Caenorhabditis elegans: one gene and its partner. The protein of the gene in region 1 interacts with the protein of each later gene in a pairwise test. Each region holds a gene or a part of one and is shown on either strand. Other genes may lie near its edges.

Region 1 (4,341 bases):
ATAATATATAAAAAACAAGGAAATTAGGTCAAAATATTGGAAAAATGGCGGTCCAACTTCTATAGCACCCCCTCTGATTTTTGACAATTTTCGGTAAAATCGGGGTATTCTTTGCAATTAATAAATTTATTTTGAAAGAAACTTCACACCAGCATAAGTTTTTCAACATGCGCTACCGAACTGTTTCAAACCGCCAAATTAGAGGGGGGGGGGGGGGGCAAGAGAAGTTGGACGCACTGTATATTATGCCATTTTTCAAAAATTTAAACAGCCATTGCAAACTTTGAGAAGTCTCATTTCAAAATTTGTTAATATGGGCGCAAACCTTGGCAATGAAATACGCGGTATCAATCTTCTTGGTTCACAGGTGCCCGGCGTCGTTGAAAAATAAATTAGTGTATTTTTTAAATTTTTTTTGAAGAACCCGTAATCAGAAATATTTGCTAATTTGAAATAACAAAGTTTTGCTACAGTATCATAAGTTTTGAAGTTTTATGACGCTTTTACGATATCCTGTAGTTAATTTCCATCATTTACATCTAGAACACCCAGAACCATAATAATTTTATTAAAAACTAAAAGTAGGGTACACATGTTTGTATAATTATTAGAGTTAGTATTTAGAGAAAAAATATTTAAAACATTTTGAAACTATACAAGTATGGATGAACACTTTGAAAACACTTTAAAAAGGCAGTTATTGCAATCAGTATGATAAATAATACAAATATGGTTTTTTTTTTGAGAATACAAAACTATGCATTAAAATGGACAACTTTGGAAGAGCTGAGCAATATTTCTATATGTTTAAGAATCTCCGTCGACCGCTTCCAAATCGCGAGCCGCAGCTTTGGTTTCATCATCCTGAACTGGCATCACATGAACTTGGATGTTCTAAAAAGTATTCCTTATGAAATGAAACAAACATGAAAGGTGAGCACTCGATAAGGTAATATATTTGACAACTGTTTGGTGTGTACATGGGAAAATATTGGGAAAAGCAACTCAACCGGTGGGATAAGCGAGGAAGTGGCAAACAGCTTCATACTCACATCGGCAGGTCTTAGGCCAGTCTGGTAGTTTGTTGCTGCATACACGTAGTTTTGATCGTTTGGAACTGAAATAAAATAAACTTTGAAAAGCTTGAATATCTTAGAGGGCTTGAATGCAATATTATGAAGTTATGTTTTTGTTGTAATTAACGCTATCCACCATTAATACCATACTTTAAGTACTATTTCAAGGTTAGTAGTTTTCATTTTATAAAAGTTGATCACGTACCCATCATCAACCCAGCTGTAGCGGCAGTGTTCCATTGATAGTAATTACTGTACGTTTGATCTGGCAAGGTGACGGCAGCTGAGGAAACGGGATACAAGTCGGCATGTGACACATATGTGGCAGTCGCAGCTGCGACGGCAGCAGTGCTCAGTTCTCGGTCTGCTTTTGCACTTCCCGCACGCCGGTTAGATGACCTTTGAGCCTTTTCGGTCGAAGAAGAGGCTCTCTCAAACTTCCTTTCTCGGGCCCGTGACGTTGATGGTGTGGAAGAGTCTCCGCTTTTTGATTTTCTCTTTCTTGTCTGTAAAGCACCTTCTTTCTTCATTGAGGTCGGCCGAGGGATGTGATGGAGTTTGAAGTAAAGCCCGCAAGCACTGAAAAACAAACCATTAGAAAAAAAAAAAAAAAAAAAAAACTCACTTGCAGACCGGATCTCCTTCAGCATTTCTTCTCCAGAGAGTTGTGTTGGTACCATTGCAATTGGAGCACACAAGTCCCTGCCGACGGGACGCAGATCCCTGTATTGATTTGTTGTACACTGTTGCAAACGAACTTTAACTTACGTTTGACCCCCTATTTGAGCTACTTGACTTTTTAGAGGATTGCTTGGCAATTTTAGCAGTTGGCTGCTCTGAAGGTATTTCCAGAATCGGGGGTTGTCCCAAAGAAGTGCTATACGCGACTGGAGGAGAATACGTGGTTTTTGGTGTTGAACAGTTGACGCACATCATTCTAGAAAATTATTCGTTGTAGTTTATTTCCAAACAGTGTACAGGCACATATTAATCCGGTAGTTTATTGAGTCATCGAAATTTTTCTAGCTTACCCTCCGTTTACTGCCTTCATCCCGGCCCCACAACTTTGTGAGCATTTGACGCATTCGTAAGTTGGAGCCACAGTTGGATAAGTAGAAGGGATGTTAATGGTAGGAATACTGGGGTCGTACAGAGAGGGTTTGTCGTATATGCTAAAGTTTGAATATGAAAGTAAGAACTTGAAAACATGACTTACGAGTTTGTATATCCCGAAAAAGTTCCAAGAGTGTTTACGGGAATTCCACTGTAAAGAGGATAAAACGGTTGCATGGTAGTTTGGTCCAACATTCCAAAGTTTGAGTAGTCTATGCCAGTATGGAAAACTAAAAGGAAGAATTAATCCAAATAACTTGAATTCACACTTACATGATGTAACAGTTTCCACTTTCGGCTCATAGTTATTTGTGCCACTTGTGATAACACTTTGCCGTTCAATTGGAGATGCGTAATCATTATCAATTTTCACTGAAATTTTATAATTTTATAATCCACAAGCATTTCAGTGTTTTGTTTACTTCTCGGTAGTTCACTCAATTGTGACTCATTATTTTGCTCTGGTGGATCCATGTTCTGAGTTGGTAGGCGCAGACCTCCCATTGGTTGAGATGGTTCCATTTCGGCCCAGCCGTTGACATTATCATTGTAGTTATTATCCATTCTATAATCTATTTTCTAGTTTCTATTTTATTAGAATGCCAAGAAAATCAAGCATTTATACATCAAAACTTATCAATGAAAACAGTGGCACCTAAAACATCAAGCAGTTTAAAAATTCAAAAATTCAAAAATGCTTCGAGAAGTGTATTTTCTTAAATACTGCCTTTAAAATTAAAACTATTTGAAGACAATTTTCAGACGAAGATATTACAATTAACATTTTCTTGCTCATTCCAAAAATTAACTGCAAAAATTAATTAAAATAACCCATAAAATAAGAACACAAAGATGTTAATGCCATAGTAACTTAGAAGATATCAGTGAAAACAGTGGCACCTCGATAGCTGTTCAACGATAAGACTAAAAATGATTGGGAAGTATAGATAGGCTGATTTTATCAAAAAGAAAATTGTCAATGAAGGCACAAAGCGTATTGGTTTGAAAAGAAAGATGGTGTGCACACCGAGCTCGGTGTGCATGATGGCTGGCTAGCGATTATGGCGTTAGTGTCGACTATTCTTATCAGTTTCAGCCCCGACCTCTGTCGCTCATATACGCAGACAACCACCCACTTCCAGCCAAACATGGGACTCGGGTCCGCCCATCATTGCATGTACGGTAGTTGGTAATTGAAAAAAGTGGAATGAGGAAGAAAATATTGGTTTCAAAGTAGCGTTTATAATAACTACAAAAAAATCAACTGAGGAGACAATAAGTAGATAAAACAGGCGATCAGACTTTTGATGGATACATATATCCAATTTTGCAAACAAACTTGAAAATTAAATTGAGTTTTTGCGTTTTCACTGAAACTTTCAAACAAGTTGCAATGCAGCTATTAATACTGCACATAGTAATAGTCTTGCTTTAATTTATTGCCAGAACAGATGTATCTAGTTAAAATGTTGATAAATTACTATCCTTCACAGAGTGAAACAAAATCAAAAGCTTTCAAGAATTTATGGTAATTTTTTTTAATTTGATAAGGCATCATTGTCAAAACTTGAATAATTTGTCAAAAGCTAGATATTCAAAAATTAGTATTGAACCTCAATTACCCTACAAAGTTTATAGTGCTCACCAATTGGAAATAAGTTTTGAATACAATACTAATGGAGAAAATACGGCAAACTATACATTTTTAACTTTTCACTCATTAGTTTTCATATAATTTTTAAACTGTGATGTCACACCATAATTTTAAAGACAAGAAAACATACAAATACATATAATTATCAATAAATGATATTATTATAAAATAAAAAACGCATATTTGTGAGATATGAAAAGTACGCCCTTCTATGTTTTTTTTCAAGAATACCGGATCAAAGGGTACGCTTTTTGTTACACAGTGTGTTTTACGGAAACATATTCAACATTTGGAGGACAGTTCTGTCTCCAAAGCTGACCAGTTCAACATTCTTATAAACAAAACGTGATGCGACCTTCAAGTTGTCTGGAACTTTTGTGATTCGGGCAGGATAAGGAGTATGAAGAATACAATAATGAAAAATAAAACAAAAAAAGATAACCTGTAGAAAAATTGATAATTTTCAGTTTTTTTCGATAATCAGCCACACACGCACAT
Region 2 (4,285 bases), on another chromosome or scaffold:
GCGATTGAGTTTTTCAAAAGGTTATAGGAATACAAACCTTCTCAGTTTGAGTTGGAGTTTTGTCTGATAAAATATTATGAACATGCTTCGTGAGCAGGTTTTTTCATTTTCAGTTATGAAATTAGTTTCTTTAATAGTCAACAGTCTATTTTTAACAACTCATGTAAAAATAATAATTCAGCGTACTTAATTTAGATAATTGAGCACAATCTAGCTGCACTCCAACACAGAGTGTTTTTCATCCAACTGGCAGACTCAAAAAATCCGAAAATTAAAACCCAAAAACACAAAAGAAATTCAGATATCACCAACATAAGAATTTCAAAGATTTCGAGACACCAAGAATGTCTGAAGCAGAAAAGTTTCTAAGGAACTCAAAGATTGACAACTGTTATTGAGAAACTGTCGGAGATGTTCGATCAAATGTGAACAAAGGTGAGAGCATAGGCTTACTAGGTACTTTAGGTAGGTCTAGGTAGGTTATAGGTACTTTCAAAAAATTTGAAAAATCTCTCATCATTCATTGGTTACACGCGACTATTTTGTTGATTACATGAGTTCACTTAGTAACCATTTCCTGACTTATTCCAACTGCCCCTTTCTGTTCCTTCCGACGTGACGACTTATTCGTTCCATCAACACTCAAGTTACCACCCTTCGCCTTGTTCTTCCGTTCATTGGATCGATCGTTCTTCCCAGCATCTCTTGATTTCTTCCGAGTAAGAGTATTATTGGAGTTTGTACGATCAGTCGAAGTATGGCTCTTCCGATTCGTCTTGTTTCTACGATCCATATTATTTCGACGATCTTCCGATTTTTTCTGTAATTTTTATGTTAGAATAATTATAATCTGGAAAAAATGCCAAACCTTCTCAATAGCTGGATTAGGGCTCATTGGTTTTTGAGCATCAAGCTCCAGGGTCTTCTTTTTCTGTTGAAGCATCGCAAGACGGTTTTTGACTTCTCTGAAGTTGATGCGGACCGATGGAATCTTAAAATTGGAGAGTTAACATCAAGAAGAAACTATTCACACCTTACTTTTGCACAACAAGCATCCACAATCTCTTTCAACTCACTTGGATCTCCGTCTTCAATCTTATGTGGGTGCTCCGACTCTTTGATCCATTTTTGCACCTGCTTCAGATTCTTCGGCCACAACGGATCATGTGCACATCTCGTCATAAGTTCCGTGAGCAGTACTCCATACGACCAGACGTCCGTTTTCTCATTGAATAATCCTTTGGAGAATGTCTCCGGAGAGAGCCATCTGATTGGGGCCTTTTTCAAACTTTTCATTTTCGTCTCACTTTCATTCACTGATAAGCCAAAATCAGAAATTTTGACGTTCAGTTCTTTAGTGATCAGGCAGTTCCTTGCGGCCAAGTCCCGATGGATGACATTTTTGGAGGACAGATGCTTCATTCCACTGGCAATCTCCATTGCGAATTTGATGATTTGTTTACTGGGTACGTTTGGAGTACGTTGAAGGTATTTCTGCAAATTTTTCGATATTAATTAAAAATCTGCGGTTTCACTTACTCTCAAATCTCCTCCCGGTACAAACTCAATGACTAACATGATCGGCTGCTGGAGAGACGCGAATCCATACAGAGCTACGATGTTCTTGTGTTCCAGCAAAGTCATGATGTTTGCTTCCTGAAAAGAGTACATTAAATTGGCATCTTCAGATGGATCCTTTGTGGAGGGCTTAAGCTTACGTTGCAAAAGTCCACGAGTTGGGGCCTTTTGGCATCTCCGATGAGTCGTTTGACGGCTACTTCAGTCGGGACAGTTGCTCCCATTGGCACATATTTTGCTTTGATTACTTCACCAAAAGCTCCTCTTCCCAGCTGATTTTCCAAAGCGATTGAACTGTGTTGGAGGATCATCGAACATCGACTGATTGGTACAAGCTGATTGACTACCAGCGACCAGGCATCGAGAAGTTGATATATGTGTTCGTATCGCTTCACAGGAATCCTTGGAAACTTTTCATAAAGAATCGGGCAACTCCATCCTTCCGAGTTCCAGTTGAATTGAAAATGGAAATATTTGTCTTCAACTCGTGCCGTTATACACAGAAATTTGTGTGTTGGACCCATTGATCTACGGACAATGTAAGAGCTCTCCCATTTGAGTAGCTTCTCGGCAGCCTTTCCGAACATCATTCCATGATACCAGTTACGTTGTAGCAAGAATGATTTGATGTATTCCTGAAATTAATGAATCTTTAATATAACCTATGGAAGTTCTAAAATATCCCTTACATCATCATGCTTCTCAACATTGAGAACCAGATCTGGAAACGAATGTGCGTATTCAAGATCCGCTACTTTTCCGGCAACATCCTCATTGCTCACAGCAGCTCCATCAATCACAAGATTCGGAGAATATTTGGTATTACTTGATTCAGCAGTTTCACAACTTTTTTGATCAGGTGTTTTCATTATTTTATATGCAAATGATTTGAATTCTTGATTCTTCTGATCTTCATATGAAAGCAATGATTGAAAATAGCAATTGATGGAGTGGGAGGGGCTAGTGAAATGGTTCACGTTCAATTCGAATTTTTACAAATTTTTTAATTGTTTTGTTATATTTCTATAATTTTATATTGGAATATGAGTTTTTGCGGATTTTCAAAAGTTCATTTAACATTTGAACTTTACGTGACGTATCTAGAGCAAAGATCTAGGACAAAGATAAGAAGCTTGCTATAAATTGGACAGATTTTTCCATAATCTTCATAGAGTTCTCATAACTCCAACAACGACCGTATCACTGTTGAGTGGACCAACACCCCGGATGGCGCTGCCAAACAATTCCGTCGTGAATGGTTCCAGGGAGACGGTATGGTTCGTCGCAAGAACCTTCCAATTGAGTACAACCCATAGAGCCTTTATTGACTTTTTTCAATAAATAGTTTTAAATGTTCCTTGTTTTTTTGGTTTTGAACTTTTCAGTTTTTAAAACGAACCAACTTTGGTGCTTTTGTATCAATTTGAACACAAAATGTGGGAGAGCGTCAAGGTTAAAGCCGATTCTGTTTGAGGACCGCTTGAACTTCATTTTCCGGCATAAATTTGAAGAAATTTCATTTAAAAAATCTATTATTCAGAAAAATGTAGTGAAATCTTTTTTGTATTTGTAACAGTATTCGAGATATACAAAAATTTCTAACAACAAATGGTGTTACAGCGAATGACAACTTTTCGGCAAATACTGTTTTACTACTTGATCTTTTACTACGCATCTTTTTTACTACGGAATCTCTTTCACTACGAATTCCACATCTAGATCTTTTACTACAATTGGATCTTTTACTACGGAATCTCTTTTACTACGGTTTACCAACATAGCTCTTTTACTACAGTACGAAAATTTTCAATTTAAGAATTAAATTTTCAACAACATTATGCCGGCAAACACTCATTGACTACCTTCTCATTGACTACCTTTGCTCATTGACTACCTTTTGCTCATTGACTACCTTTGCTAATTGACTACCTTCAAATGCTCTTTGACTACCTCTATCTAATAAAATTTTCCAAAATTTTTTTTGAAAACTTTTCAAAATTTGATCAGAAAAATGCAATGTTTGTAGTTTTTCTAGTTTGGATGTTCTGCACACGATTGCAGACGAAAACCTGAGGTTTAGTAGAACACCTAAGCTCAAAAAACGCACTCACTTCGGATGCTGATATCTCCGTGGAAAAATTTTTTATGACAAAGTGATCAACTACAAAGTTGTTTATCTTAATCTAAAGTACAACTTTGTAGTTGATTGTTTTTTATCAAAAAATTTGTTGGTCGAGATAAAGTTGTGTAAAGTTCGGCACCTTCATGCTTGTATTTTCTTCTTCTTTTTCTGTTCATATCTCAACCAACAAATTTTTTGATAAAAAACGATTAACTACAAAGTTGTACTTTAGATTAAGATAAACAACTTTGTAGTTGATCACTTTGTCATAAAAAATTTTTCCACGGAGATATCAGCATCCGAAGTGAGTGCGTTTTTTGAGCTTAGGTGTTCTACTAAACCTCAGGTTTTCGTCTGCAATCGTGTGCAGAACATCCAAACTAGAAAAACTACAAACATTGCCTTTTTCTGATCAAATTTTGAAAAGTTTTCAAAAAAAATTTTGGAAAATTTTATTAGATAGAGGTAGTCAAAGAGCATTTGAAGGTAGTCAATTAGCAAAGGTAGTCAATGAGCAAAAGGTAGTCAATGAGCAAAGGTAGTCAATGAGAAGGTAGTCAATGAGTGTTTGCCGGCATAATGTTG

The links. Proteins that work in one complex are often made in the same cells at the same time.
Region 2: the proteins of elt-2 (region 1) and kin-21 interact in a two-hybrid assay, tested with the Caenorhabditis elegans proteins (one large-scale study listed by BioGRID).

The regions. Positions count from the first base shown.
Region 1 is NC_003284.9:10,479,653-10,483,993, reverse strand, and holds elt-2 (Transcription factor elt-2), read right to left. Parts: upstream 2,755-4,341; 5' UTR 2,754-2,754; coding exon 2,612-2,753; intron 2,562-2,611; coding exon 2,463-2,561; intron 2,420-2,462; coding exon 2,293-2,419; intron 2,249-2,292; coding exon 2,108-2,248; intron 2,014-2,107; coding exon 1,845-2,013; intron 1,800-1,844; coding exon 1,702-1,799; intron 1,656-1,701; coding exon 1,282-1,655; intron 1,118-1,281; coding exon 1,053-1,117; intron 895-1,052; coding exon 808-894; 3' UTR 553-807; downstream 1-552. UniProt on the Caenorhabditis elegans protein: Transcriptional activator that binds to the consensus sequence 5'-[AT]GATA[AG]-3'. Predominantly directs the transcription of intestinal genes such as ges-1, cpr-6, pho-1, ftn-1, vit-2 and lev-11, and itself.
Region 2 is NC_003282.8:9,831,097-9,835,381, reverse strand, and holds kin-21 (Tyrosine-protein kinase), read right to left. Parts: upstream 2,497-4,285; 5' UTR 2,448-2,496; coding exon 2,268-2,447; intron 2,214-2,267; coding exon 1,719-2,213; intron 1,657-1,718; coding exon 1,540-1,656; intron 1,495-1,539; coding exon 1,039-1,494; intron 992-1,038; coding exon 869-991; intron 821-868; coding exon 560-820; 3' UTR 512-559; downstream 1-511.